Tamandua tetradactyla: one gene and its partner. The protein of the gene in region 1 purifies or fractionates together with the protein of each later gene. This does not show direct contact. Links are inferred from orthologs where the notes say so. Each region holds a gene or a part of one and is shown on either strand. Other genes may lie near its edges.

Region 1 (16,545 bases):
GGTGGGGCCCATCTAGTGATGAAATCCCTCAGCTTTTGTTTATCTTGGAATGTCTTAATTTCCCCCTCAGTTTTGAAAGACAGTCTCACAAGATATGAAATTATTGGTCAGCAGTGGTTTCCTTTCAGCACTTTAAATATTTTACCCTACTGCCTTCTTGCCTCCAAGATTTCTGATGAGAAATTAGCACTTAGGATTACTAGGACTCCCTTTTGTTTTTCTCCTGTACTTTCAGAAGTTTCTCTTTGTCCTTGGCATTTGAAAGTTTGACTAATATGTGTCTGGGCATGGTTCTCTTCAGGTTTATCTTGTTTGGTGTTCATTGAACTTCTTGAATATTCATATTCATGTCTCTCATTAAATTTGGCAAGTTTTCTGCCATTATTTCTTTGAATAGTCCTTCTGCCCCTTTCTCTCTTTCTTCTCCTTCTGGAACTCCCATAACGTGTACATTAATACATCTGATGGTATCCCACAGATCGCTTATGCTCTGTTTGCTTTTTTTATTCTTTTTTCCCTTTCTGCTCCTCAGCCTGAGTCATTTCAAATGTCTTGCCTTCAAGATCACTGATTCTTTCTTCTGCCAACTCCAATCTGTCCTTGAAACCCTCTAGGGTTATTGTGATCTTCACACTCTGATATTTCTGTTTGGTTCCTTTTAAAATTTTTATCTCTTTATTGGGATCCTTATATTGTTCATTCATTGTTTTCTTGATATCCTTTAGCTATTTCTCTTTGTTTTTCTTTATCTCTTTAAGCATATCAAAGATGATTTTTTTTTTAGAGTCTTTTTCTGGTATGTCCAAAGTCTGGCCATCTTTGTTGATGGTATCTGGATTTTTATGTGTTCCTTTGTATGGGCCATCATTTCCTCTTTCTTTTTCCTGTATTCTTTCATTGCATATTGTACATTTTAAAATTTTTAAATTGTTAACTCTGCGATTTAGTTCCAGAGTTTTCTCTTCCTTTTGTGTCTAGCTCTGCAGGTGATATAGCAGAGATTTCCTTGCATGCCAGGAGTAATAAAACAAACAAACCAATGCAAAATCACTTTTCGCAGTCATTGCGAACTGGCTCTGCCTTGGCTGGTGCTCTCCTTCAGAATTTAGCCCTTCTATCAAGAAAGTGAAGAGCAGGATTCACTCTGACATCTCAGAGCCTGTCTTGCCCTGGTCTTATGCTCACTACGGGGGCTTAAGAATTCCTCCATATATAGGAATTCAAATGCCTTGTCCACTCCTTATGAAATAGACTCTCATTCCCGCCCAGAAGCCCTGTTGTATGACTTGAAGCAGGTAAGGCTTTGCCCCAGGCCGTTTTTACTTAATTGTTTCTTATAAGCTACTTCTTCCTGCAAGATACATTTTTGGAGGGTGAGCACAAGACAAGTTTCCTGGTTCTGTCTTGCAGGCTGCCACCTCACAGATGGGCACCCACACACAGACACCCCAGTATGTACAGAGTCACCCCATAGGGGGTGACTCTGTTCTTTCCAAAGTAGAACCAGGGCCCCACAGTGGGAGCACAGGCTGGCTCCAAACTGCATGGTGGGGTGGGGTGCCTGGGAGGGACCAACAAGGGTGCCATGAGACTTGCCTTCTGTTTTTAAATCTTGTTTCCTTCATTTGATTCTTGTCCAGTTACTGTAACTTTTTAACTGTTTTCTGGTGTTTTGAGGAAGATAGCTCTTCCAGTTTTTCTAGTTGTTCAAAGATTCTGTGGGAAACATCTCACACTGCCATCTTAGTCAATCAGAACTGTTTATATTTTAAATCCAATGAAAAAATTTTTGTCCTTCTCTGGTAAGCTCAATATGTTTATACACAGAACATGGTTGAATTATTTTTCATGTATTATTGTATTTTCTGTCTTTTTACTGGTGAGTTCAATCCATTCACATGAACTATGCTTACTGGAAATTTAGGACTTGTTTCTATCTTACTTTGTACTTTCTATTTGTTTTATTTTTCTGTGCTTCTTTTTCTCCTTTCTTGACTTTCTTTATATTTGTTTACATATTCATTTTCTTCTTCTATTTTTGCCTTCTGCTAGACAGGTTACTTATATAGTAATTTTATTCTTTTAGGATTAGTAATATTCTTTTAGTAATCATATTTAACAACTCAAGGTTTAAAATTAAGCACACCTTAACCCCTCTTTCGAACAACACAAGTCTTCCAGACACTCTTCTTGTAACAACTTATACCCCCAAACTTAACTGAGTTGCTAAGTATGATACAGTTTCCAGAATGAAAATAAAGTGGGTAACTTTTCTACCACTAAAGGGTGAATTTCATTTCTAAATAATACTTTTACTTAATATATTTCAAAATAATGTTGTTTAGGACATACAAATTTCTGGCAGCTTTATCTTGTGAATTATTTATCAAATGACCAACCAAAATAGCTTCCAGTAGGTGATATAAAGACCCATATTTACCTCTGTGCCCCTCCAAACATCTATTAAAATGACAGAGAAAATACAAGCAGAAAAATAAATTCATAGCAGCACCAACATCCTGGATGAAGTGTCAAACAGAAATCTAAAACAGTGGAAAACTTCTGGAGCATATAAATTAGATGTCACATTAGAGTGCTGTTTCTGAGGAGGGCAGTGGGCTGGTAGGAAGAGGGGAACAAATGGAGACCACTTTGTGTGTGTGTATGTGCTTGTTTGTGCGTGTATTTTCTGAATTGAAACAAAGATATGTACTCATATACCATCTGTGTAGAAAGTTACATAATCATCTATAAGCAAACTAGATGGATACAGATTCAATGATAAAATCTAACAGAGCCAAGGATCTTTTTTATCATCTTTCAATGATAAAATCTAACAGAGCCAAGGATACATATGACAAATGCCATAAAACAGTGCATTATTTATGGCTTTTTAGTGTGTTTTTATTTCTGGCAGTAGTAATGTTCTTCTTTTGCAAAATTTTCTATGATATGCTCTTGCATTTTCTTTTCCAGATGAAATTTAGAATCTGAATAATTCCATAAAAGGTAGTTCTGCCCATGTATTGGGATGCTGTTAAACTTACAGATAAATTTAAGATGAATTAATCATTATGCCACTGGGTCTTTCCATGCAAGCAGTTTTACATGGGCTTCTCTTTTTCTCTCCATCTTCTGTCTCTGCTTCTCTCTCCATGTCGGTTTTGTCCTCTGTAGTAAGCGTTATTCTCTTCCTTGCAGAGGAGAATGTCAGTTTATAGCTCTTAAGTCACATCTTCCCAGTTTCACCACCAGAAAAGGAAATTGCTCTTTTCCCCAGTTTCTACCCCAGTAAAACCTTGGGCAGGACACTCCTTGGCTGGGCTTGGGCACATGTCCACTTCCAAATCAACCACACAGCCAGGAAGGTGGTGTAATGCATCAGTCTGAGTCCAATGAAGAGATAAATCACACAGTAATTTGGACAGAGACAGTATAACATAAAGAATTATCCCCTATAACAGGGGATTGGAATATTGAGTGACTGGCTATTAAGAAGTAAAGAGAACTCTAAAGATCATAGGAATAGCACAGATAAGGAGCAGCCGCTAGGCTTAAGGCTGAGATGGCGCACCCGGGGAAGAGCCTTCTCCCCTCTTTACATGGCTGAGATTCAGACCTGTTGGAGAGGGCATGACTGTGGCTCTCTGGATGACAGAGGACTTGCCATGATGTTTTGCAGACATAATTGGCTGGAAATCTCTCCTTCTAGTGCTAAGGAAAGCAGTTCACAGGGACGTTTCTCACTGGGGGCACTCTGCTACAAAACCACCTGAGGGAGAGGGGATGGCAGGGACAGGGGAGAGAGCTGCAGGAGATGGGCACTGGGGAAGCTCATGTGTTGCAGGAGGCATATACACTAAGGGAACCTGCCTGACTATCCAGCTTCTATATATGCTCTTCTACAAAAAAAAAAGAAAAAAGAAAAAAATACTGTGTTTCTACCTGGCAAGATACAACCACGTGTAGTTCTCATCTTGCCCTTCCTCCAGAATGAGGACATACAAAATATTATGCATTATTCCATGCATCACTGGCTATATTAATCAAGCCTTAAATTCAGTCATAGTACCACCGAATATTCTGTTACCTAAAGACTAAATTGTAAGGTTAATTTCTAACAATTTGAATATATAATAAAAGTAGAAATCAATGATAAGGAGAAAATGGGGAATAAATACAAATAAACACATATAACAAACCAATAGGAAATATGTAAAGACATTACAGTCTTTGTCTCTGTAATTGTTCACAAGGATATAATTAATTTCTCTAGCATCCTTCTTTCACTACCCATTCTGTATTTCCCCTACTGTTAACTAGAACCTCAGTTGGTTGGGATTCTTTACATGGTGGAGTGACCCAAAGACTTGGAGTACCTCAAACATTGTATCTTTTATTTTTGGTTACTGAAGTTTTCCATTATCCTTAATATCATACATGGATGCACTAAGAAGAACCCCAGAGAATCCCCTGAGTTGTAGATCATTCTCCTTGCCTCCACTGTATAGAAACAAAGCAATTTTCCCTTGGAAAACAGGATCAACCACTCCAGCCAGTAGACTATTCCCTGTTTCTGATTTTTGGTTCAGTTGCATTAGAAGTCTAGGTGATAGTCTTATCTTCCAACTTACTGGAACCATTGTTGTGTCCCCTGATGGAAGCATCTCCCCCTGGGGACTAAGATCTCCAAACCAGCAGTGGTCAACGTTGCCAGGTAAAGAAGGAAAAATTCTGAGAATGAATTATTTGGTAAAAGTATGAGAAGAGACAGTCCCACTTCCATTTCTTGACTCAAATGTGTTTTGGCTTGGGGGAGATAGCACCATATAATGGTCTATGGTTCAAAACAACCTATAAAACAGAATCCCATCATTCCCAAGCATTGTCTCCTAATTGGGACCAGTACTGAGTCTTCCGTAAGTCATTTCTTCTTTCAGTTAAACTAGTTGTATCTAGATGATTGTGTATGTAATAAGACCAGTTAATCCCATAGGCACAGTCCCATTGCTGCACTTCCTTCGCTATGAAATGAGGTCACTGATCAGATACAACATTGCATGGAATGTCCTGGTGGTATATAAGGCATTTTTTGAGTTCACAGATAGCAGTGCAAGCAGAAACATTATGGTCAGTGAAGGCAAATCCATTTCCAGAATATGTGTTTATTCCAGTGAGGATGAATCTTTGCTCCCTCCATAATGGAAGTGGTCCAAGGCAATCAATCAACCACTAGGTTGTTTGCTTATGACCTTGGAGAATGGTGCCATATCAGGGACCTAATTTGATCTCGGCTGGCTAGTTAGGCACTCAGAAGTAGTGTCAGCCAGGTTAGCCTTGGTAAGGAGAAGTCTGTCTTGATGAACCCATGCATAGTCTCTATCCCTACCACACGGTCATTTTTGCATCATTCATTGGGCAAGCACAGGGGTGGCTAGGAAAAGAGACTCATTGAAACCCACAGTATGACATTTTGTTCACCTGATTAAGAGTCTTCTCTGAAGTGGATACCTTTAGTGGGCATTCATAGGACACAGATACCTTCCCATTCAGAGAAGTACACCCATAGACCTTACTTGTCACAAATCTTCTAATCCATATCTGAGCACTGGACAAACCATTAGCAACCACCCATGAATAAAGGTAGATCTCTACTTCTGGCCATTTCTCATTCCAGACATGGTGAACAACCAAATATATTGATCAAATTTTGCTCAATGGGGGGATTTTCCTTCACCACTGTCCTTCAGGGTCACCTGTGAATGGGGCTTGGGAAGCCTCATATGCTACAGGAACTGCACACAAGAGGAGTCATCAGGGTTGTAGGAACCTAACAAACGGAGTACACTGGAACCAGGAAGCAAAATCCTTTCCTTTTTGCATGCTCTTTCCAGCATCCTTTAGTGACTAAACTCAACATTGTGGTAGCTAACAAAAGAAGAATATTTACAGAGTCCAGATCCATTTTCACAGAGAAGGCAAAAAGACTGAATTTGGAACTGAGAGGCAATAAATCAATTAGTTATATGTACTATGGTTGGCCCAGCTTAGGTGAGAAATCTGCCTTTCCACCAATTGCCTTGGCTATTGCAGCTCCTATTTTGAAGGACATCTTAAGATTGGTAGTAGGGAAAGAGAAGAGTTGTTCCCCAAATAAGGGGAAAAAGGTACTATTTTCAAAATAGGAGAGGACTGTTAGGCTGACAAAAACAATAAACAGCCTCTACACTTGAACCTTTGGCAGCTTAGCACACACATGGGCATGCACACACCCAAATAGTTTTCCCCATATTTCCAGGTCCTCTTAACACAAAACAACTATGGATTTTTGGGTTTGTTTGTTTTTTGCATATTCCATGTGCAATTGCAAATGTACTTAATCCACATAACATCCAGCCATTGAATCCAGCTCCAAATTCAGGATATTTGAGTCTTGTCATTCTCAATGAAGTCCCAATGTTGCTAAATGTTGAGTAATGAATCTACCCCCAATGCACCAGTAGGCAATAAGGGGGAAGAAATGGGATAGAAAAACTAAAGAGAAATGGCAAAAATGAGAAGCATATACAATGGATGTGAGTGTATACTATACCCTACCAGACAAGGGCAATAAGGAATCACTAGGTTAGCAGAGAATTTAGATCTTTGATCAACCAATCAAATGCAAGATTTCTTTGTTCCGTTGACCTCCAAGACTTTGCCTTACAGAGGTAGTGAGGTGTTGGGAATTGAATTATATCCCCCACAAAAGATATGTTCAAGTCATAATCCTTGTTCCTGCAGGAGTGAACCAATTTGTAAATAGTACTTTTGAATACGCTAAGGTGAGATGTAAGGAGAGGTCAGGGTGTGGATTCCTATGAGGATAGAATCTTTGAAGACCCTACTTTTAGATGAGGCCAAATTGAATCTGATGGGCCTTAATCCATATGGCTGAAGAAATCTAGATAGAGACACAGATGACTGAGCAGGAGAAGTAGAAACTAGAAGAGGAAGCCACCTGCCAGAGGCAGAGATGCAAGCCAAGGAACCCCAGGATTGCAGCAAGCCAGCACCCAGAATGCTACTGACTCTGGGAAGGGGCACGGCCTATCAAGACCTTGATTTTGATTTTGTACTTACGGCCTCCAAAGTGTAAGACAACAAATTCTTGTTGTTGAAACCAACCCATTATATGGTATTTGTCACAGCATCCTTGGAGAACTAAGACAGAAGAAACCTCCTGCCTGGGACTACCCTGGCCACCTACTTCATCTTCCTACAGCTATAAGGCCTGCCTGGAACATTGCCTTTGAGACAGCACAATGGGAGGTGCCTTTTGCCAAGTTGAGGAATACTTGCAATACCTTGAAACTTTATTTGGCTGCCAGTCCTGTCATTATGATTTGGGGGAAATCCATTAATGTGCTATCAGAAATCTCATTCAATTGTGAACTTTGAATATGCACCTTGCTCTCCCAGTTTCTATCTCTTGGAAACAGGCCTGGTAACTCCATCCATTTCTCTAGATTATTGTTCCACAGTTTTCACCACAGAGTCTGTCAGACTCCATCCCTTAAGTGGTACACCACTCAATTGGGATAATGCCCTCTCTCAGTTGGAAGGGGAACATGGCAGATGTCTGGCCAGAGTCCTGGGAAATGAGGCATACCTGATCCCAGTTTCCCTGGATCTCTGCATTCTTAGTTAATGCATTAAGTTTATGTAGGGCAGAAAATTTAGCTATTTGAATTCATAGAGTAGATATTATCTGACTTTTTCAGTGTAGGATAACAACCACTGGCAGAAAGTACCTCTCTTAACAAAGCTGCGTAATTATGCCACTACTGCCCATCTCTTTCAGAAAGACCACGCTGAACCACAGTTTGTCTCTCTCATAGTACTAACTGAGGAAGGCAAGAAATAGCCAAAATATTCCAATTGCCTTATTTTTTAAAAATCATGTTTCTTAAAGTTAGAGCCTTACTAGGCATAACAAATAGCAATCTGAAAGTTTTGAGTGCCTCTCAAACTTTCTGGTAAAGGATCAGATTGTTTGGGACTTTTTCTTCTTTTTTAATTACTAACCCACCACCACGGGCAAATGCTTTTGTAAAATACAAAATGGTATGCTTGGATTTCATGGCAATGTCAAACTGCTGAAAGTTTCAAAATGCTTCTCTCAGTTTCTGTATTTATTTCATCGCCGACTACTAGTTTTCAGTAGCACTGGTCTAACCCACAATGTCTGATACTTTCCCAGCCTGGGACAGATGGCTTTTCAGTCTCCACCTCACCTTGACTAAGCCAGTTCTACATTTTCAGATCTGACAATTGCATTTCCTCATTTCAAACTACCAATTTCTGTATTCATTGAGATTTGTTCAGACCATAGACCACATATTTGAACCATACAATGTGTTGTCTCCCAGCTGACACCTGAATGGCACATTATAAGACCAGTGAGGCCCATGGGCTTTGGCCCATTGTCTGACTTCTATCACTGCGAAGTGAATTATTTGGTCAGAGGAATGCTGCATGGGGTAATGTGACAGTGTAGAAGCGTTCAGTAAGTCCACGAAGAGTGGTTCTGGAAGCAAAACCAAATCCAATTCCACAATGAGGAACTATTGTAGCAAGGCAAATTGTTGACCAATCTGTGAAAAAAAGGGAATTCAAAGTAATTAGCATGCTTGACATCAAATAGTTTGTGGATCCCCTTGAGGAAGGATGCCACGTGAGAACTTCATAATTGGTCTAATTGGTCGCTGATGCTGCAAAACTGGCTATTCTTCAGTGACAGTAATCTCAGGAATAGATTTTTTCCCTGCCACCTCCTTAGCAAATCAGACCATATCACTTTCAGCTTAATATCTGGAAGAAAATTCAAACTCCTATGGCCTACAAGGCAGCAAACTGCGGGTTCAAGGCCTAATTTCTCTCCAATTTCATCTTACATTGCTCTTCCTTTTGCCTGCCCCCCGATGCCCCAGCCACACTAATGCCAACCTCAGCAAGCTTTTAGCACATTCTGTTCCCTCTGCCTGGGACACTGTTTGAGCATAACTCCCAACTCCATTCCTTTTCCATTTCAGCTCCTCCTAAAAGTCTGCTCCCCACCTCTCCATAGACATTTCTAATCCACCCTGATGTTTCTTTTCTTCATTTCACCTTAAAAGCCCCTATAATTATTTAATATTATTCCAATAATGCCAGTATAGCAACGCAAAGAAAGTGGGAATTCCACAACTCTAGGGAGCTTTTAAAGGTTTAGATATTTTTCTAAATACCCAGAGTGAGATGCACAAGATCAAGAGGCATTCTTGGATGATTCATAAATAAATCCTCAAATGGTTGCAACCACTCAAATCCCCTAGACTTCAGCTCATGGTTTCTCTTTCAAAAGGACAGTGCCCGTTATCATTTTTCATCTTCGGTTCACACCCAGCTCATGGTTTCTCTTTCAAAAGGACAGTGCCCGTTATCATTTTTCATCTTCGGTTCACACCCAGCTCATGGTTTCTCTTTCAAAAGGACAGTGCCCGTTATCATTTTTCATCTTCGGTTCACACCAATCAAAGGCCAGGCACCCAGAAGCCCGCCTGATGTTCCTGTAATAACGAAATCCGGGCTTCGCGTTGGCCTCGTGCGGGAGCAGAGGCTTACGAAGGGAGCCGGGCTCGGGAGCACGGGCCCGCGCCAGCCTGGGACGGGGGGATCCGAGGGTCCCGCGCTGCTCCCCGGGCCGTTACAGGAGCGTGGCTGGCGCGCGCCGGGCCTCGCAGAACGCCCGGAGGGGCCCCCGCAGGCCCCCGGCACGGCGGTTCAAACTGGCGAGTGTGCGCCCCTCGCGGTGCCCGGGTCATTCCAGGGCGACATGGGCGCAGAGCCGCGGAAGAGCCTCGGTAGCCAGACGCCCGACTTCCACGTGAGCGCCCTCCTACCCCGGTCTCTGCTCACCGCCCCTGCTTGGCCTGCAGCGACCCCTTCACCGGCCACTTCTGCCGCCTTTCCCTTTCCTCCCCTCTCCCGCCTGCCGCCTCTCCTCTCCCGCCCCCGATCTCTCCTCGCCTGCCGCCCTCTCTGATCGGGCTCTGGGGCGCAGAAACCTCTGAGTGCCTCGGGGCTCCCGAGGGGACCCAAAAGCAGGAAGGAGACTCGCAGGAGCAGGCGACAAAAGCGCGACCTCGGCCCCCTGCGGTATCCACCTGTCTGTCCGCCCGCCCGCGCGTTCTCGGCGCCGCCTGCCAGCGTGGAGGAGGGCCGGACTCCCTCAGCGACACCTTTCTCGGCATACCGCAAATGAAAGCATTTATTCTAACCGGGAGAAAAAAATGAAGTAGGACTTTTTCACAAAACAAGTCTCCTTTCATTGTTAAGGAAACTGGCTCGGCCAGTTATGTTAAATGGCGGATCTTTTCTGTATATTGAAAGTTGTCAGATTTTGACCCAAAAAAAAAAAGAGTCCGTTTATAATATATTATACGCCAGAAATTACGTATACAGTTTACATATCAACTAAAAATGTGCGAGCGAAAGTGTTTCCAAAATCTTTTTAAACGGTTCTCGAGCAAAAGGGCAGGCCCAGCCCCACCGCCTGGGGAACCCCCACCCGGCACATTCGTCGCAAGGGGCCCGCGGCCTGGGGAAGCAGGAAGAGCGTGCGGCGGTGGGGGAGAGGCAGGGGCCGGAGCAGTGAGAACCGGATGTGGGTGGCTAGCGGAGAGCCGAGGCGCTTCCTGTCGGGCGGCGCTCTAGCCGCCGCGCGCCGTGTCTGTGCTCCCCCGCGCCGCCTCTATTTATTGTCGCGGGGAAGCGGCTGCCGCCCCGGACCCGGAACAACAAAGCGCCAAAGCCTGAGCTCGCGCCCCGGGGGCTCCTAGCAACGGGCGGGGCGGGAGTTCCATGGAGACTGGGGAGCGCGCCCGCCTCATCATCATCCTTGTCCTCCAGCTGATCCTTCGCGTCCGCCGCCACCGGCAGCAGCGCTGCCGCCGCGTCCTCTGCCGCCGCCCCCTCTTCCCACGGTAACCCCGGCGGCGACCCTGGGCGGCGGCGACCCCTGGGCGGGGGCGGCCTGGGGCGGGCGGTGAGCGGCGAGTGCGTGCGGGGGTCGGCGGCTGGGGGGCAGCCCGGGCCGAGCGAAGGTCCCTTCCTCCGGCGGACGCAGCGATTTCGGGGTATCCCAGTAGGGATAACGGGGTGGGGGTGGGGCGTGACTTGCCGGGAGCGTTCTCCAGGCGGGGGTGGGGGAAGAAAAGAGGGGCTTTATTTTCCACGGCGGCCACAGCCGGGGACGGCGGGGCAAGGGAGCGCCTCCATCTCTGCGGAGTCCTCCCCGCGGGGAAGAGGGACCGTCTGAGATGCTGAGGCTCCGTTGCTTCCCAGAAAACTTCCAGCGGCCTCCCTGCCTGGGCGGGAAGGCTCCCGAATAGCAGCTTCGTCAGTTCCTGATTCTGGCGCTGCCGGCTGCCCCCTTTCTTTTATTACTATTATTGTTATTATTGTTTTTGACCAAAATTAGGTTGGATGAAAGGGGATCTGGACTGAGGAAGTTAAAATGAATTGTGGATAGGGCTAGTCAGGGATGAGAGTAGGGATAAACGTTTAAGAATAGCCCTAAAAGTGAATCTGTGAGGAAACGACGGTTTTGTAAGAATTTCTGCTGCTCACGGGACGTGTATCTGCAGGCTCTGTCAGCGCGCTTATTGCGATAAGACTCAAATGCAGCAAACCCACATCTGTGAGCTCTCCAGCAGCATCTGTCACCTGCCGTTGCGAAGCTTCACTGGCAGCAACTTAGCGTGGGCTTGTGTATTTAGGGCTACGAACGGTGCCTTCAGTTGGCGGCTCAAGAAAAGGGAACAAGCTTGGTGTGATTTTTGTATGAAGAAGCAACGACACGTTCCCCGGGGAAATTGAGAAAGAGAAATCTAAAGAGAAGGTTCCGCCATCCTGGCATGGTCTGCAGTCTTTATTTGAAAGTTTGAATAAATGACAGCCTCAGTCAAATCTAGAAGGGACTTTGATTACTAACCGGTTTAAGGAATTATTCACAGCTTGATATGGCCAGTGAAATAGTCATCAGTGTATGCTTTCTCTTTAAGCCTTATATCAACGTACTGAATGTTTTTTTTTCTTTCCAAAACCATTCTAGGTCAGTAAATGAGGTTTGCCTGTGGCAATCTGAAAAGGCCACGTGTTCATACTGCAGTAATACCATTTTTGTGTACAATGGGAACAAAGCTCTGTCTGTAAAAATCACGATTAAAGATAAAAGCAATATTGGTAAATCATAGAAATAGTCATGGCAGCGGCAACTTCTGGTTGTCCCCCACCATTCTCGGCAACACTTGTCTTCTCTTAAGGAAAAAGATGTCCTTATCCCTAGCCTCACCCCCTCTGCCCCCAAAATCAGTATCAAAGTATAATGAGCTACCAGTAAGTGTTCTTCATTGAATGGTTGACTCCTGAATGAGGGCTAGCCAAAATAGAGTTTTAAATTCAGTTGGGCATTTTCATTTTAAGCGGTTAATCTCAAATTGAAGTCCAGTTTCTCTTATTAAAGGAATATTGTGTCAGTACAAAGAGGTAGGCAGTTTCACTTAACAGGTACGGGAAGTATGAGCATTGGGGAAATTATAATCCCATTTTAAGACTGTTAGAAAGGAAAACTCAACACTGTCACTTTTGGAGTAATGAATCAAGGACTGTTGCTTAATCTTTTCACATAGCTGTTCTTCTAGAAAGGACATGCCCCGGGGTCGGGGACGGTGTGTGTGTGTGTGTGACTACTTGAGGCCACCAGAATTTTTGTAGTGCACATGAGACTTAAGGAATTCCCTCTTATCTCAGAGCTGCCATCAGACTCACTTACCTAGATCGTATTTGCTCTTTCCTCTTTCCTTCCATATTTAAGTGTAGGTTAAACCTTAGCTTCCATCTTTATTAAAAATCCAATTTCTGCTCTCCCAGCTCTCTGGGTCTTAATTTTTTATGTTATTAAATTATTTTTGCTTCCTTTTGGGTTTTCAGCATATGTACTCAGCCTGTACACCCTTTTAGTTCTGCTCTTTGTTGGGTTTTCTTCTGTGTTCCTCCTCTTTATCTGGAAAATTGGAGTAGCTATGTCAGTGTTTTGAGTAACTATGAGCTACAGGTGAGAGTCTTATGCTGAGCACCAAATGATTGTGTGGAAATGATATGCAAAAGGTATTTAAAAACTTCAGAATGAAAGTTTTTTTGAAAGACTAAGTTAATACTAATACTAGTGTTAATATTGTCATTGTAAGCAGTCACTTTTGAAGGTAAAAGTATTTTAATGCCTGCTGTGTCTTATATTGAACCTTAGGTTTTTATAGTTCTTTTTCAAAAAATAATTTCTTAACCTACCTTTCTCATGATCTTGCAACTGAATATTTGATTGATGATGCATTTTGCAAAATTTGAGGAAGCTTTTTAAGTGCTATCCATAAATTTTAAATGAAAGATTGTCACATCAAAATTTTTATGCAAGTATACATATATAGGATGTACAGAATTTGCTGTAGAGCAAAAACAACTGAAGCACACTGCTGAATTTTCTTGTTGGAGAGTATTATTTCTTATGGCTGTGGCACAATATTTCATAAATCAGCAAATACTGAATAGTCTAACTGAGTGTGATCATGCTGTTTTCAGGTATAGGAGCCAAGAATAAGCTAGAGATTGATGATTTCCTTATGTTGCATCATAGGCCATGTGATGAAATTATTATGGCTATGAAAAATAAAGTTGATTTAGAGGACTTAACAGTAGAATGTTTTCGTAGTGTCTCTGGTTTCAAAGCTTGTAATGCTTTTAAAGCAAAGCTGTATTGTGACATTGGTAGTAATGAAGATTTCCTGAAATTTACATTCATGTTTGCTGCACCTTTTCTATACCTAATGCCCTGTCAAGTAAACAAAGCTGGATGACAAGTGTCTCTCTTTTGGCACATAGATGGCAGGGCAGTGACATGTATGGCTAACAACATGGCAGACACAAATTGGAACGTTAAACCCTTTTATCGCATACTGCCTGGGACTGTAGTTATTGATGTACATATTTCATGATGCCTGCTAAATTAGAAGTTCCTTAGGGACCAGATTATGAGTCACCATCACATTGTATGTTCTTGTATGTGTGTGTGTTTTGGAGGTAAAAGTGTTAATAGAAGGAGAAACACATACACGGATACACACACAGACAGATATTTTATTTATTTTACTTCAGGAGAGCCCATGAAGAGGGCCTTAGCTGGTGGAATGAGAGAACCGTGCTCGATGCATAAAATTTCCAACTTTTTATCCTGGCTGTAAGTTATAAACAGCAAAAATTCCTCAAATATGACTAAGGCATTGTTTGAACCAATTTGAAACAGTCAAAAGCATAACAAGTAGATATGATGTTTGTGCTTGTCACAACATCCCTTTGAGAAATTTCAAAAGGGTAATCATTTTATAAATATCTCAGATCTTTCCAGGTGGTGTAGACAGACTTCATTTTTGCATTATGAGGCAGTCAATCTTTTAATTAGATGAGAGATAGAGTGTTTGTGTGTAGTGTAAAAAGCAAGAATCCACAACGTATGTCATTAGTGGAAAGGAATCACGTTGTAACTAATTTTACTCATCTGGTCTTACCTTAAAATTCAGAATTTGGGTTTAATAGCTGGTTTGGAACCGGACATGTGCTGCTAGGGGTCCCATTAAATGTTTTAAAAACAGCAAAGGAACTTTTGGGGCAGTTCAAATCTGCCTTTATGTGGGAGTCAGTAATGACACTGTTTAAGATTTCACACACACACACGAAATGCTGCACAAGCATTTGAGTGTTGACTTTTTCAGAAACAATACTGAAAATCAGGTGATGTGTCAAGGACAGTTTTCTTAGGACCTGTGTGGATGATTTAGTACTGGATGTGCTTAGCACAGTAGGCATTCATCTAAAGACATTGGCCATGGCATGGTTTTGTTTTTTAACTTAGTGAGCACTTGTAGCATCTTAAAAGAAGAAAATGTTTGTTTCTTTTGACTACGTGGTTCAGAGGAATCAGGGTGTTACCCTCTTCCTCCAGATAAGTTACAAGTATTTTCATTGTTGAGACAGAATGAAATTTTGATCAAAATTTCTTGACATTTGGGTTAGAGGGCTGGAAGTAGTTTTGTGTAGTGTTTAGTGTATGCTCTCAACATAGGCTGCCTGGGCCCAGCATGGGAACCCTGCTGCTTTTTAGCTGCATAGCCTTAACCAAATTATTTCACTATCCCAAGTCCCAGTTTTCCCATCTGCAATATGGGCTTAATATTAATATTAGTCCTATGTCATAGGATTGCTGTGGAAAGTAAGTTTGGAGGGTGCTTCGCCAAGTTAAGAGATGAATAAATGTTAGCTGGTGCCAATAGTAGTGTTACTAGATAGTATATTAAAGATGAACCTTTAGGCCATTTGAATAATTGTTACTTTCTTTTGGAGGCCTTCGCCTGAAGCAGTGAAATCTCTTCTTTGTGATCACTAGCTATTAGAGGATTCATTTCTGCTTTTAGGTGTTTGGTGGGAGAGTACTTCTATTTTACTTTGAATTGTCACACAGGCATCTGGTTCTCACTGGCAGTGGACTAGGTGAAAAGAGACCTCACTGTTTCTTGGGGAAAGAGAGTCAACCAAGCGTGGCCTGGCTGGCATCACAGTGACTTCAGTGCTAGTCCCCAGGGGTGTGCTGCTTTTGTGACTCCACAGCCTTCTGAATATGAGGGAAAGATACCAGTGGTTTCACCTGGGGGAACTTGTCCTGCTTTAGAAGACACTACTTTTTACTTGGATAACTTAATGGATGGTAAACTTGAAACTTGCTAGTATGTCAGTGTCAAGCATTTTAACTTGTGTTTTCTCTGTTACTATTAATGTTCTAAATAGTAACTTTCTTGTAATTCCAGAAGTCTCTGAAATGGCTGTAGTGTTCCAGTAATTCAGGTGGTTCAAGAACGGCTGTAAAGTTATTCCCCAGCACGAAACCAGCTATTAAACCAAATTCTGGATTTTTAGCACCCTTTATTTATAAAATAAGACCAGATGAATAAAATTTCTGATACGTCCTGCTTCCTTTCCACTAATGACATGCTGGTGGAAATCATTGCTCTTTCACAACTGTACAAATAGGCACACTCCATTTCTCTTCTAAATAGAAGGTTGAATGTGTCATAATAACAAAACTCAAATTTATCTAGATGGCCTGAAAGGCCTGAGATATTTATAAAATGATCACCCTTTTGAAATTTCCCAAAGAGATAGTCATGAGACAAGAGCAAACGCTGGATGTGCTCAATTAAGGCGGTAAACCATTATTTTTATTGTTTCAAATTTGTTTAAAGCTGCAACTAAATACTAGACTGCCTAATTTGGAAGATAATTGGATACCTTGGTTTAGGCTGCTATGGATATAGCTAATTTTTTTAATGTTAAGTCCAAATGTTTTATTTTAGTTGTATGGGCATTTAAAACTGCTGACTAAAAAATAAATGTCTCTGCTTAAATGAAATGAATTAC
Region 2 (16,187 bases), on another chromosome or scaffold:
TATAATACAGATTAAGGGCCACCCTATTTCAGTTGGACCACACCTTACTTAAAATAACATCTTCAAAAGGTCCCCTTTTCACATGAATTCACACAAGAACAGGAACACAGATTATGTCTTTCATTCAGCCTCCCATATCACTATTTCTTTTTATACACACTGCCTCTTTTAATTTATTGCTCACTAACATTGGCACAGGTACAATTTAATTTTTTCTATCTATACTACCATAGGTATTACCATAAAAATACTAATACTACAAGTAGTATTTTTTCTATTTAAAACAATGACCCACTAGGTAATACAGAAAGAAGAGCCTTTCCCAATTTTTTACCAGTAAAAAGTCATCCTACATTTTTCTTGTTTATGAAAACATTTAAATATAATTATGATGCTAAAGAGAAATGTTTTGATTATCAAGAACCTCACTAAAAATTACTGCTTTTGACAAATTCAATAATTAAGTGCTATTTGTAACTGGAAATTGATGATTTTCAACTGATATAGGAACACAGAAATCAATTACTTCAAATAATTTAATAAATGCTTTTGGATGATGCATTTATGAGGCTAATTATATTTAACTGGGACAAAGTTTAGTTTCAAGTTTCCGTTTTGTGTTCATTAGCATTTCTCTTCTTCCAAATAAAGGTTAAAATGTTATATAATAAACACATTAAAAAAAAATTCGGGAAGCAATACAATTCAATTTGAACCCTTCACATTATCTTGGCCTGGCAGCATCTTACCTCTAAGACAGGTGGAAAGAGTCCTCAATTTGTCACATCTAGGCTTTCACCTGTAAATAGCAATATAACCTTTGGCAAGTCACTACTTAACCTTTATTCAGACAGAATAGATATGATATTACTTATCTCATGGACTGTATTAAACTGTAAAGGAGATAATGTGTGACTAAAGATTTTTAAAACCCAAACACAGCAGTATACATCCATTATTATTATTGCTTCTCAATTAGGCAAGATACACAAGATGGTAAATTGTCCATCCTTTTTTTTTTTTTAATCTTTTTCCTATTTAAACATTCATTCTTTTTTGTCTACTGGCTATTTAACTACTTCTTCAAAGATTATCCCACAGCATTAATCCAGAGCCTTAGTTCTCAAGAAAGTATCTGGACTGTACCCTTTGATTTTCTCAGTTACTCTTCTGAAAGTAAAGTTTAGCCCTTGGTATTTTTTCAGATTTCTTCCATTCTGGTCTGGAATCTATAATAATCTTCCTGCCACCTCTCCTTTTATAATCTTTGCTCTCTCTACTTATAACCTCTACTATCAGAGGAAGGTAAGTTCTGGAAAAGAACACAGAAGACCAGCTGCTAGCAATCCTTGGTTACTCTGTCACATGGCATAACACGTGGGAAACATCTACTAGTCTCTCTCTTGTCTCCCAGATTTCAACGACTTCAGCCTCTTGCTTCCAGGGCTTTCTTTCTCTTTGTCTGAATTTCATTCTCTTATAAAGTACTCTAGGAATAGGAATAAGAACTATCCTGAATAAAATGGGCCATACCTTAACTGAAGTAGCCTCATCAAACCGGTACATACCCACAGGAATGGATTAAATTTAAATACAGCTTTAATCTACCAGTCTGTGTCAACATATAGTTTGTAGATTATAGATTTAATTTACCTGCTATGATGTATTTTATTAGAAAGTCATCTATGTAGAACTCTTTCACATCAGACGCCTCTATCAAGTTGAAGGCATTCGAGCAAGAATATAAAAGTGACGGGTAAAATAAAAAACACTTGACCAATTAAAGTATATTTTAATAAAACCATTTGAGCAATCACCCTGTAATTTTCACCATTTTTAACTGTCCAAAATCACAGCTATTCAAGTTGTGATTCAAGATGAGACACACATAGCTGAGATCCAAGAATCAGAGAAAGAGGAAACCCATGTAATTAAATACAGTGTTTAATATTAATTACATTTATAGCACAACACCAGCCTTCTCCTTGAATAGTGATGAAGTCATTTATCTGGAAGACAAATCGTGTGGATAAAAAACCATCACTTATTGTAAGATAATACTTCATTGGCTTATTTTTAAAAAAATTTTAACAGAGAAGGTTAAACATATTTAAAAAGTAGTATAATGAACTCAACTGTACCCTTCCCTTCACTCGGCTTCAATAAATAAGGTAACATTCACAGGTTCCAGGGATTAGGAAATGGACATACATTTTTGGGGAGCTGCCATTCAACCTACTATATCTACTAAGTGGTACTCAGTAGTACAGTCCATACAGGAAAGCCTTTGATTTTTTTTTCCCTTTGTTACCAATTTTCAAAATAACAAGTTGTTTCTCTAGCAACCTCCAGTGGTGTCCAATTAGAATTTTTTGCTTGACTTGTTTTTAGTATTATGAATTAATGGATTTAAATATTTGATGTAGTTAAACCTGTCTTCTCTTTGTCAGTGGCAATCTCTCCATGTTGGCTCCTTGAAACCTTTTGACGTGACCTTAGAAACTTTCCTGGCTATCTGTATAACAAAATGCTCTAGATTCATTTTGTTTTATGCTGAGCGATAACTGGAAATTTCATTTGTTTTGAATTAATTCCTTTCTTGCCTCAGTCCTGGAGTCAGCAATATTTCCTAGGAGACTTAATTCCTCTTCATGAAAAATTTCAAGGTCATAGATGTGCTCGTAGCTCACGTCTATGAGGTTGGTGATTGTAGGCTTTTTTAGAGCAATGAATGTTATGTAAGACAAAACATTGAATTTCTTTTCTTTTTTTAAGGAAAAAAGACATTTCTTGCTCTGGAATCAGAATTAGACATTTCTGCAAGGTGCACCAGTTTTGAAATACTATAATCTGAGTAATAGGTGTACTCATTGATACTGGTTGGTCAGTGTTTCTAGTCCTTTAAGGGCTAGGGAAAAAGATTTTAAATAAAATGCATCATAAAATTTCTTATTTAAATTCAGAATTTTTACTTAGCTTTTTCTCTATTAAATCATTTTCTTTCTCCCTTGCTGAAAATCCTGCGATAATTAGAACTTCTCATTATTACTTATTTTCTTTATTCCACGTCACATAAAAATACATATACAAATATATATATAAATATATATAAATACATGTATAGGATAAATTTATAAACACCATCACCATCAACACAAATACTGAAAACAGTTAACTTTTTCTGGCATTTCTTTTTGCCTTTCGATAACATTGCTACATTTATATAATCAAAATCTATGTGTTTTAAAGTCACTTGAAAAAATTCCTCTGTTCTACTATTAAGTACAGTTAGGTTGACTTGCTTCATTTTATTTTCAATTTGGGAAATTTATTTTCAAAAGTTAATTTTGTTTTATAATTAAATAAAAAATTTATATGGTTCAAGAGACAAATTGAAGAAATAAAGTATATTTAAATAAGTCTAGCTTCTATTCCTGTCCCCTCCATGCTATTCCTTCACTATTCTTCCAGATAACTGTCTTTAAAATTTTTATAGTTTACCTTTCTTTTTAAAAAAATACAAGCAAACCCATGTACACATATTTTTGTATAGCCTGTTTCTGTAAGTGGTGGCATACGAAGAACACTTTTCTCTCTCTTGATCCTGGAGATCATTGCAAAGTGGGGTACAGAGATATTCCTCATTCCTTGTTATAGGGGCAGAGTACCAAGATACTCCATTGTGTGCCATAGTTCACTGAACCTATCCCATAGGGGCAAGTGGCAGTTTTTCTAGTCTTTTGGTGTTACAAACAGTCTCACAATGAATAGCCCTGGGGATACATATTTTCACATTTTTGCCAATGTATCTCTGGGAGAGATTCCTGGAGGTAGCATTGCTGAGTCAATGAGCAAATACAAACATAATTTTGCTTGATATCGTTGGATACATATGTAGTTCAATAATTTGATGAACTCTAATAGGCAAATCAGCATCAGCTTAAGAAGTCATATCTCATTACAGCATAAAATTATTATATTAACATACAAAAATTATGTTGTGTAGTCACCATTTGAAGTATCAAAATTTGGCCAAACTTCTTGTAGATAAATTAATCCTTAAACACTGACATCATTTTAAAAATCTAATGGTAGTCTATAAAGTGAGTTAAAAAAAAAACCCTCCTCCCCTGCATTAATGATATGTATAGCTGTTATAGACTTATCATTTACAACAAAATCATATACCAAATACTTGTGAAAGAGCTTTCCAATATCTTTAATCTTCACAACAATCATAGGTAGTGGTTATTATTCCCATCTTACTGACAGAGAGGTTTTGTTACTGCAGAAGGTCACATGGTAAACAAGCAGCAGAGCCAAGCCTGATCTGGAGCTCACTCCGCAAAAGCTCTACACTCCGTATTCACTAAGTTACTTTATTTTTTCTAAGCGACCACAAAACACCTTATATTTTGGTATAATTATCGTTTTAAGACATGCAGTAGCAATTTCAAACCATAAGTTAGAAGGGAGGAAGAGAACATAAAAAAAAACAAAAAACGAGTAGGGGAAAAAAGCCTTCTCACATGTGTAGAGGTAATATGTGTGGTTAGCAGTTTTCTTATATTACCCCATGAAAGAAATTATGGCATGTGGAAACTGGCAGATTTCTGTAAAGGCCTAAAAATAAAGTGAAATCTGATTACAAATTTTTGTTAGGACTGAAATACAGTACACCACTGCTTTAAACAACTTATATGGATCTGTAATCACGCGCTGCACTTTACAATTAGTGTCAGTGTTGGGGATTGACTCACCCGCCTTCCCTACCACCCGCCCCTCCAAAGTTTACCCCTAGTCCTATAGGTATGAACTCAATAGTAAACAACAAGTATTTCTGAAGATTCTATTAAAAGGAAGCCAAACTAAATTACAGTGGGCCTTACTCCAGTGTGACTGGAATTCTTATAAGCAAAGGAAATTTGAACACAGAGCTCCAAGACCCAGAAGGCAACAAAAAAGTCATCATGAAGTAACAGAGCACTACTATGCATCTAAGTATATGGCTGTTATAAAATATGAGTTCATAAATCCAAAATCCAGTATAAATGTTTATATGGTACAAAGAGATGTTAAAATTAGGAGTTATTCAAACTTTAAGAAATAAAAAAGTTCAGATAAAAATAATTTCAAAACTGATGCAAAATCCAGTCTTACATAGGAGGAGATTTCTGCTCACAAATTTTCAATTTTGTGAATTAAAGGGCTGTTGCCTCCAAATATTCATGTCCACAATTTTGGCACAAGATCAAAATTTCTTTCTGAAACGGAACTAGCACACATGGTACCTCATTTACCTAATTTATAACAGCTAAATGAGGGGCTGGAAAACCAACAAATTGAAATGGAATCCACGATGGTTATTTAGATGCCAGGCACATCGAGCAAGAAGGAAAGAGACCGGTAAGTATTAATAAAATGCTTAGGCATTATTACAATTTTGGGGTTGTAAAGAAATAGGCAACACTCAGAGCCTCCAGAGAGTCTGAGGTTCTTGAGTTCAGGATTGGATTTTCTGCCTTTTTTTAATCCAATAACTGTATTTCATTATTTCACAGATCAGAACTAATCAGAGTTTATATCTCATCAACCCCCTCAGAGAGGATTAATTCTGTGGAGAGTAAATCTCATAGATGCTCATTAACCTCCTGTCAGTAGTGATTTTTAACCTTAACTGATGGCAAAAGCTCTAACAGTTAAGAATACCTAGTGGTAGGGGAAGAAAAGGTGGAAGGTAAGAGATTCCGTATCAGCAGTTTGGGAGTGTTTAAGGAAGAAACAAGAAGTATTCTAAAGACAATAATTCAGTGAAATTTATCTGTAACGGTATTGTTTAGTACAATTTTTCCAGTTGTCACCTGAATATTAAATGAATTACAAATGTTGTTGAAATGAAACGTTATTGATATTCCAAGAACACTATGATTTCCTGTTATTTTTCCTCCTTTCTTTAAGGGTCCCAAACAAGCTGCTGTGCAGGGAACTGTAAGGTAATTGGGTGGTAAGAGGAGAACCGAGGATAAAATGGTGTTAAAAGAAATCTCAAGGTTAAGGGATATTCTTTATATCCATTCACAAATCACCCACTCCCATTTTCTGCGTCTTAACGGCCTCGGATATCTCTAACCCTTTCCTTAAGGTCATGACAGGCTGCATCTTTTCCTCCCTCTGATAGGATGCTTTTGATGTTTATTTAAATCTGTTTTCATCGGCATGGAACTTTCGACATTTTGCTTTGTTTTGGCTTTTGAGGCTAAACGCTCTCGTTCGTTCAGACTACATTCCACGTATCTTAAAATTCTTAGAGACAAGAAAATTAGGTACTGTGCGGTCTGTTCTCCAAACAGAGCATTCTCTGTTCCCCGTGAAATGCTGATATAAAGGCAGGATTTGCTTGGGTAGAGCAAGTCAAAAGCCTATTAAACTGCACTCCAAGACATGGACGTTTTCTGCCTGCTCTCACAGCGAGAGGCCATGCGAGTTGGTGGGTCAGATTACTCACTCATGGCCTGCTGGCCGTGTGGTGTCACAGCAGTTTGGAAATATTTTAAATTATCAGCACGATGTGCTGACTTAATCCAGTGGTAAGAGTTCCGTTTTTTTTTTTTTTTTTTTTTGGCATATCCAAAAGGGTGAGAAGTTATTTAAATTTAAACCGAAAGACATTTTCACCTCTCACTGTGGAGACAACAGCGCAGCCGGTTTCGGGGAGTTACTGCTTCTGGAACGTGAAAACACAGGGCCCGAATGAGGTTTCGTTCCCTTTGGAAACACGTACACAACTAAGTGAGCGAAACAGCCAACTTGGGCTAGAGGCGCGAAAGCCCAGCGAGGCTGACTATGAGAGATGACTCCGCACTTGAAACTGCCGGGTGTACGAGGCTGCCCGGGGCCGGAAGCTGAATCACGTGACCGGGCCACCTCAGCGGCCATTCCTAGCAAGGCTGCTACCACCTCCCCGTAGACATTCCGTAGCTCCTGCAGCGCGGCGCGCGCACATACGCGTCTGACAGGAGGCGGTCTCGAGTGTCACTAGAGCTCGCGCCTTTTCCAGCATTGCATTTTGCAAGCTTCTCGCCCAGAGGAGCTGCCGGAGACTTCCGCCTGGGTGCCAACCACGTGAACATCCGACACTTGGGATGGCATCACTTCACTAGTCCAGTTCGCGGGCTCAGCTAGCCCAGCACTCTCCACGGCGCGTGACGACGCGACCCGCGGCAACCTCCGCCCCGACGCGCCTGCGCAGGCGGTTCTCGCGGTGTCTCGCGCTCAGCCCCGCCCACCTCCCGCCCCCGCCCTTTCCGCCCCTCCCTCCCCCTCCACCCTGTCTCTCGGCGGCAGCGGCGGTGGCGGCGGCTCGCGCAGCTTGTTGGCTTGCTATATAAAGGGGCGAAGCGGGCGGACCGACGGCTGGAGCTGCAGCCGGTGGCGGCAGCGGCGGCGCGGGGAGCGGCGACCGGTGTTGGTTTCCCTCCTTCGCGCGGGGTGGGGAGCGGGCAACGCCCCCCAGGCCTCTGGAGGGTCTTGGCTTTTTTTTTGTAAGGCGGTTCTCGAAGATTTTAGCTCCGAGAGGAGTGTCCCCTCCTCCTCTCTCCACCGCTCCCCTCTCTACTCCCTCAGAATTCGATAGTTTAAATTTTTCCCTAATCTTGCGGTGGCTTGGGTCACCCTCCGGGTGTCTTTGCTTTTTTTTTTTTTTGGCTTTGTTTTGATTTTGTTTTCTCAGGGTCCCCCCCCTCTTGTTTGTGTTGTGTGTGGAAATGGCGAACTCGGCAAATACAAACACCGTGGTAAGGACGTGGTTCGGTGGCCGGCGGGGGCTTCGTTCAGGCGGCAGCAACGGCCGAACCGGGCGGGGGCGGGGACGGCGGCGACACCGGCTTTGACTCCAGCCGCCCGCGCGGCCGCCGTCGCCGCTTCCCGCCTCGGGCGGCCCGGGCCGGGCGGCGGGCGCGGGGGGGCGCCGAGGGCTGGCGGCAGCGGCGGGGCTGGCGGCTGGGCCTGGGGCTGCCGCGGGGCGGGCCGGGCCGCGGAGGCCGTTGGGCCGGGACGGAGGGAGGGAGGGAAGCAGACCCTTCCCCCCGAAGCGGGCCCGTCCGTGCTGGCTCGCGAGAGGTTCCCCGAGCAGCTTCAAAACAAAAAAGATATCTGGGGAATTGGGCGAATCCCAAGACCCACCGTGATCCACTTTAACGTAGTGGAAGGTTAATGGCTACTTTGAGGGGTAGAGGTGGATTAGTTTGGATTTTCCTGGAGGCTGTGCTTCGGTAACCTTCACTGAGGCCATTTTATGTTTAAGAAAAGAAGGACGAAGGTTGGAAAGCACTTATCTCGGTTCCTTCGGAATCGGTAAAATGGCGAAGGGGAAGCAAAACCCCCAATCGTATCTTCGACTAGCAAAAGCACCAAGACAAACAAAAAAAAGCCTACAGTGCCCCTGCTTTCGCCTTAAAATTTGCCTACTACTACCCGTTTGTCCCTTTTTGGTTACTTGCGATCACGTAGGTTTGCAAAAAGCAGTCACATAAATAACCTTTTCAGTCACCAACGCAATATGATCACTAATCCACCCGAGTCGTTTATTTTTATTTTGAAAATAAAACACGTTTTTGCCCGGCCCCAAATGCCGCAGACAAACCCGCGGCCGCACGACACTGTACCGTTGGCGACTCGGGTCGATCCATCATGGCTGCGGCCGCTTACCCTGCTTTTCAGTCCCTGAGCCTTGTGGTCCTCCTCCCTTTGGCTGCCCTGTTTATATAGAGCCATTGCCGCTCTCTAATATAGACTCTGCCAGGATGGGAAGGTGCTTTTCAGGCCTACGTCACCGCCTCTCCATTTAAACACCAGATCCGGCTTTAAATAGTGAGAGCTGCTGCGAGCGGGGCTGGGAGGTGCGTGCTCCCGAGGCGAGAGGCAGGCGCGTGCGGAGCTCTTTTTATTCTTGGGTCCAGCTCTTTTTTTTCGCAGCAGTTTCACACCTAACTGGGGCTGGTCTCGGAGCCCCAAGGTTTTGTTTTAGTGCAGGAACTAGGATTTGCCTTCTTTGTTTTTGTCAGGGGAAATAGTCTCAAATTGCTGTCCAATTAATCGCTTTGTTTTTTTAAAAGAGGGTTTTAGATGGTCTAATCGTTTTTCTTGTTATTAGGAAGTGTCAGCATATATTGTTGGGTATTTAAAAATGCTTTCCACAATAAGTGTTAAATGTAAAGGATTTGATGTTGGTAAGAATATTTTGTTCATTAAGTATCAGGAAATATGTTAGAAATATAGATGCTCATATTGCATTGTGTTTTCTGCTAGTAAATATCGAAAAATAGCAGGCGTTTCAAAGAAATAGTTTTAAGACCTTATGCCCACGGTACGTTTGTGTGGGGAGTAATGAGTGTAGACTGGATTTAAGAAATTAGTAAGTAGGCTGTGCCCTTATTGCTTTAGATAGTAACATAGTTTGTTGTATGAAAATCCACAGTTTATTTTCCAACATTGCTTTGCATGTTTGTTGCTATAATACTGATTTTTTTTTTTTTTTTTTTTTTTTTTGCCAGAAGGAGTCTATAACTTGAATCATTTAAAATACACCAGGGGACTAAAGAAAGGAACTGTCTAAATTAATTACTTGAGAATGCTACTAATAGCCCTCGAAGTTAACAGTTTTTAAGTTTGGAATATCTGTTTTTTTACAAATGAGGACACACCTCCTGAATTACTGTATTTAGCAAAAAACAATTTTTGCTTAAGTTTAGAATTTTAAATTATAATTTGGAAATTGTTTATTTAAAATAGTGGCTGTATACCCACGTATTTTTTAAAACATCAGTGTTTTTAGAGCTTTTCAAAGAGATTTCTGCTAAATTGTTCTTTATGCATATACTTTATGAAGAATAAACATTTATCTTCCTCTTTCATTGATATTGCTTATGAATCCAGCAGAAGTTATGGGTTCATTAAGGTATATAAAAACAAAATCTTAAAGCAAGATGGATTCATTAAACAGGAAAAAGCAAATTTGTCCCTGTAAATGTCTGAATTTTCAAGCCAAAGATTTTTAGGGTTCACTGGCTTCAGGAACACCAAAACAACAGTAGTTGCTGAAAAAATAATTTATATAATCTATTTGAGATATATACTATCAATTTAAGGTTATATTGCTGCTTTATAATGCTTTGAGGGGTTATTATTGGTTTAAAAAAACCCACTTAATAGGTGTAGCTTTGTATTTTGATAGTTAAATTACTGTTACGTATAGATGGTACTTTATAAGTATATAAAAAGAGATAACACTTTTTATAGATGAGTGATGCTAAATCCACAGAGGCAAATTTAAATAAAAAAGCAAGTTGGTGAGTGATACAGCAAAAGTGAGAATTCAGACATATGAATTCTTTTTCTGTTTATAATGAAAAGGAATTTATATTTTTTAGTGGTTTGGGTATGTTGCACAGACTCAGTATTTTGACCAGACAAGGACACATTTTCTTAGAGGGTTTCCTTGTGATAGCAATAGCTAATAGAGGTGGTAATGAAACATTTATTTGTTTGAAGTTTGCTTATGAGAACAAATCCTTGACTTTATTAACTAGTCAGAAACTTTATGCTTAAGCAAGGTATAAAACTTTATGGTTAAGCAAGGTATAAAACATAAACATGACATCCTACTTGTCATTAAAAACAGATTGTTGATCTTTATTCTTTGTGATAATGAATGGGATTTATAATGAATTAACTTCAATTTCATCACTCTGATATATAAACTTTCTTTTGTCTAACATGTTCATAGGATATGAGCTGGGCTAATTGGTCTTTCTCCCACTTTTTGGATTTTAAATACTTTATACTTTTAAAAGGGCATCCACGTTTACTCTCCTTTTATCCTTCTGACAGCCTTCTAGGAGCCAGCTGTAAGCCCCCCCAATTAAAAAATAATAGTAATATAATAATAATAAAATAAATATTGGAAGTGTTCATGATTCTCTTCCATAGCATCACCTGGAAAGTAGTGGAAGGAAAGAGGTATCCTGGGAGAGAATTCAGTGTATCTTGTTCTCCTGGAACTATTAAGATCTGTTATTTTGGGTATATAAATGATTTAATGGTACAGTTTCAAAGTACGGATTGGATGACAAAAACAGAAATAAGATGAATTTTGAACTTGACTCCTCATTAGGTTGCAGATTATTGGCAGGCAGCTGACTATAGGACACAGGGCTCTTCAAAGTCTAAGATTTAGTGGCAAGGTTATGAGATGAATAGGTCAGACCATGCAGTAAATAGTAGGAACCAGACATAAGTATCCCACAAAGCTAATATTGAATATCACATTAGGTGTTTTGACTACAACATAGAAAAGTGTAACTGGTTAACTATGTGAGCCAGTTATATAGGACGTTCTGTTTATGAATTTTATTAAATAATCTTAAAACTTGTATTATAACATGCAGTCATTGAATACTCTAGTTCTCTATTATCTTTTTAGTTCCATTTAGTTTTAGGTAGTTGTAAAATGACTATTGTATTACATTTAATTTGTTTTGAATTTGTGAAAACCTATTGTGTTCAGTATGTGGAAAAATGATATTTTTCAATAGCCTTTTATTTTTCTTTTAAAGCCTAAATTATATAGATCTGTAATTGAAGATGTTATTAGTGATGTGAGAGAAATCTTTCTGGATGATGGAGTGGATGAACAAGTCCTCATGGAACTAAAAACTGTGAGTTTGCCTTTTAAAATATATATATATTTTTAAAATTAATGCTTAGTTTCCCAAACATTACTTTTCACTGAAAAATAATCCATAATTTTTCAATAGGATGAACTTTTGACTGTTGCAGGAAGCAGTATTGTTTATTGAAGGGTGCTGCTCTGGGGTCTGACAGCTTGGTTTCAAATCCCAGTTCTTTCTCTGACCTTAGGCAAGCTACTTCCATGTTTCAAGTTTCTTATCTATAAGATGAGAATTAATAGTATGTACATCACAAGATTGTTTTGAGGATTAAATACAATAACCATATAAATAAGTGCTTAGCATACTGCCTGGCAGAACATTAGCTGTTAATAATGGACAGTTAGCATTTTACATTTTATGATCTAATTACTTGTCCCTTCTTTTTTATGGTCTGAACGTACTTATATTCTGAAGTCTGTTTAGGTTATAGGGATTGAATAAGAGCTTGATAAAAGAATTTCAGGCTCTTGAGTTAAGTCCTTTATCTGGGCCAAATATGTTTCTAATGTATTTTACTTGGGAAGGTGATTTTCTTTCTGTTGGATTTAAGCAGAACGATTTAGATACTTTTATTTAGCATTTGTGTTTTCCTAGTATTATAATGATAATGAAATCAAATGGAATATTTTTGCCCTATTGTTTCAAATAGTGGTTCATATAGTGTGGTCTCTGCACAACTGGGGACTCCCTTGAGGTCCTTTCAGGGGGTCCACAAGGTTTGCCAAATGTGTAAGTATGAATAATCATAGCTTGTCCTTCATTCAAGTGAGGTCGTGTTCCCTGAAGAAAAGTGGCCAGTTCAGCTTGCAACTCAAAAGCACAAGTGCTCTTTTCTTTTAAGGCATTTCTCACTAAAAAATGTTATTTATGTTAACATATAATGGATTCATAAATATTTTTTTAAAATTAATAGTTTTTAAAATTTTTAGCTATAATTTCTGTTACTGTAAGTATAGATATAACCCACATAAACAGAAGTTTTTTGAGATCCTGAATAAATTTTAAAAGTATTAAAGCTGTCTGAGACTAAAAAGTTTTAGACCTCCTGACTTAGAAATTAGGTATTGCGCTAATTCAAAGCTATGTACAAATAAGTAATCACAGTTAATGAAAGCTAAGGAACATTTAGCATTGATTCTGGGGTTTATTATTACCTGATCTTCATCTATTCCAGTCCTGGATGTTTTCTTCCTAAGAAGATTTGCTGCTGAGATCTGGGAGGTGCTGCCAATGACAGCATGTGCTCCTTCTTAGTTTTGATGCAGGAGTCATGGGTTCAGCTCCTGGAAAAATTGCTGTTGGTGCAAGTCTTGGTATCTCTGTAACAGTGCTGTTGTTAGCATTGCCCTTAGGGGAAAACTGTTTCTCCTATCATTTCTTACCAGAAATATAATTAGTAGTGTTTTATCCAGGAGCTAGATGTTTTGTGAAAATAAGAGAATTCTTCAGAATTTGTAGCCTAGCCTACTGCAGGAATCAACCCTGTGAGGTGTATGTCTAATTACCTATCTCAGGAAATAAACTTAGAGGGAATATGCTAAAGATCAAAGGTCATTTAGCTAGTAGGTGGTAGAGACTTGAAGGTCAGTAAGAAGGAAGGTGTTAGAGATATAACTAGATTTTGGTTTAGTGACAGGTGGTACCTGGTATGATTTTGAGGGCCACTCACTTGTTGTGAGTGCAGCAGTATATTTGAGATTAAGAGCGTGGACTAGGGTTGGGACTAGGGTGCAAAATTTAATTAGACATTGATTTGCAGGATCATGGCCCTGGGTGGGATACTGAAGTCAGGTTGGTTGCATTGTATTCAGAGCTGTATTCTGTTCTGCTGGCTCTTCGTTGGTGATCTTGGATCTATCTATGCCTCAGTTTCCTTTTCTGTAAGGAAAAAAGGCAATAATAATCCCTATTTCATAGTCTTATTGTGAAAAATCGTTCTGTACTTGTAAAAAGTATACAATAAGAGCTCATAGATGTTACTCTATTATTAGTCTAATTAACATCTTGAATCATTTGGGAAACAGAAAATGCGTTTTCTTCATATCTAATTTCAGAGACCTGATAATTTAGGTGGGGCTGCCTGAAACAATAGCTATGTGTTGGGGGGAGAGAGGACTATAAAAATGGGGGGAAAGGAGCATTCTTTCTGTTTTCTAAGATAAATAAATAAATAAATAACAATTCAGTATTCTTTGTTGTCTTCAAAAGTTATTAGTATTACTGCTGTCACAGAAAACTGTTAAATTGTTTAAACAGCTGTTTACAAAAGAATCTTTTGATAAATAAAATTGTATATAAAATGAAATAGAGAAATTGTAAACATTCAATAATTCAAATTTTATATTATTTGATATTTTAAGATTGATGAGTACTTGTGTGGTACTATTTTTGTGTTCCTCACGGCATCTAGAACAGTTTATGACACTTTAGTAAATGCTGATTCTTAGTAGATTACTACCCCATTCTCCCACCACCCAAGTTGTTGGGAAATGCATGGGGCCGTGTTTACTTATCTTAATGACTAGTGGACTCCTCTGGCATTTAGTGGGAAGTAGCCAGGGATGTTACATATTCTTCATGTTAAATTTCCTGTAAGATTATCCTTTACAATAAAGAATTATTTTGCCCAAATGTCAGTAGCATCCTTGTAGAAAAACACTACTCTAGAAAACAGGATTCTTATTTACCCTCACTTCTTTGAATTTAATGTCTTAAATGCCTGATAAGTTTTCAGTCATTTTGTTAGCTCCTGGATTAATACATAGTCTCTGCCCTGAAGGAGTTCATACTTTAAAAGAAAAGGTGGTCATGGTATGATAAGTACAACAACAGAAATTTCTAAGATCCAGAGGCAGTAGAGCACAAAAAGCTGCTACTTTTCTTTGAGGCTTTGTGTCTTTGATATTTGCATTGTTTAGGAATTATGGTTTAAACAATCCATTGTTTAGGATTATGCTAATCATAAAGAATAGTCTACTAAGGTACAGACAGTGAGACATGTATACAATATTCTGGGAACTTCAAGTAGTTTGGTATTGCTAAAAAATAGGGTATAAGTTTTAGTGACAGTTTTGTCTTTAGAATGAGGATTAAGTGGGGTGCTAGTTAATGGGGTTAACGGCTCATTAATCTGCAGTTTGCAATCTGCAGCTTGAAAAACACTGTTTAGACTTTAGAGAAGGTGTTCTGAAGCTTTAGCTTAGAATCGCTTGGACAGCTTGTTAAAACACATTGCTGGGCTCCATTCCCAGAGTTGGTGATTCTGTAGGTCTGGGATGGGGCCTGAGAATTAGCATTTCCAGATGTTGCTGGTGTTGCTGTCATCTCATGCTGAGGACCGCTGATATATAGAGAATAGAGTAGAAGGATAAATTTCCACTGCAATGTAGGCTTTGTAAAGATCAGCAATTTTTTTTATACATGACATACAAGCATAAACATTCTTACCATATGATCATTCTGTTCTTGTTATATAAACAATAACTCACAGTATCATCACATATTTGTATATTCATCATCATCATCACCTCTCAGAACATTTGCATCAATCCAGAAAAAAAAATAAAAAGAAAAAAATTCGTATATACCCCTCCCCCTCATTGATCACCAGCATTTCAGTCTACTAAATTTAACATTTGTTCCCCCTGTTTTTTATGTATTTTTAATCCATATGTTTTACTCATCTGTTGATAAGGTAGATAAACGGAGCATCAGCCACAAGATTTTCACAATCACTCAGTCATATTGCAAAAGCTATATCTTTATACAATCATCTTCAAGAAATACGGTTACTGGAACACAGCTCTACATTTTCAGGCAGTTCTCTCCAGCCTCTCCGTTACACATTAACTAAAAAGCTGATAAAAGATCAGCATTTTTGTGAGTTATGTTCACTCTGTTGTCAGTACCACTAAGAGCATCTGGCATATAGGAGGCATTCAATAATTATTTGTAGAATGTATGACTTGATGTGAAGAGGTGGGAGAGATCAATTACTACACTTTGTAGTAGAACTGCTTGGAGGAAAGAAGCTGAACTAGGGCCATAGTAAATAGCGATAGATTGGAAAAATGCTCTGGCTGGGGAATGGCAGTAATGATGGGGTACTGGAATGGCAGTAATGATGGGGTACTGGGTTGGATTCTGACTCCTAGGGTCATTGACTTGGGATGCCAGGTGAATAGTGGTACTTGGCAATTAGCAACATGTAATATGTATTTGTTAATATTTGCCAAACATAATATATGTTTTATTGAAGAGGTGGGTTAAATTTCAGTGGGTAGACCAATTAGGTAACAGAAGTGAAGCATTAAGTTTAGAAATTATTTGGTTTTAAAAGATGTTTTTTTGACTGATCAAAGAAGTCTTCATTAAGTTTTTTCTTGACTTCATTTTAAATGCACAGAATAAAAAATTGGCATCAGTTCATTTGTGAGACATCAACCATATTTTCCTTAT

What was found.
Region 2: the proteins of TBPL1 (region 1) and GTF2A1 purify together in Homo sapiens (affinity purification with mass spectrometry; 5 studies listed by BioGRID and IntAct, counting the BioPlex papers as one, with this or other methods). This does not show direct contact. The link is inferred for Tamandua tetradactyla from reciprocal best matches to the Homo sapiens genes TBPL1 and GTF2A1.

Annotation. Positions count from the first base shown.
Region 1 is NC_135351.1:34,320,270-34,336,814, forward strand, and holds the start of TBPL1 (TATA box-binding protein-like 1), read left to right. Parts: upstream 1-9,797; 5' UTR 9,798-9,907; intron 9,908-9,928; exon of another isoform or gene 9,929-10,318; intron 10,319-10,747; exon of another isoform or gene 10,748-11,006; intron 11,007-16,545. UniProt on the Homo sapiens protein: Part of a specialized transcription system that mediates the transcription of most ribosomal proteins through the 5'-TCT-3' motif which is a core promoter element at these genes. Seems to also mediate the transcription of NF1. Does not bind the TATA box.
Region 2 is NC_135338.1:40,816,107-40,832,293, reverse strand, and holds the start of GTF2A1 (transcription initiation factor IIA subunit 1), read left to right. Parts: upstream 1-7,330; 5' UTR 7,331-7,763; coding exon 7,764-7,793; intron 7,794-11,612; coding exon 11,613-11,714; intron 11,715-16,187. UniProt on the Homo sapiens protein: TFIIA is a component of the transcription machinery of RNA polymerase II and plays an important role in transcriptional activation. TFIIA in a complex with TBP mediates transcriptional activity.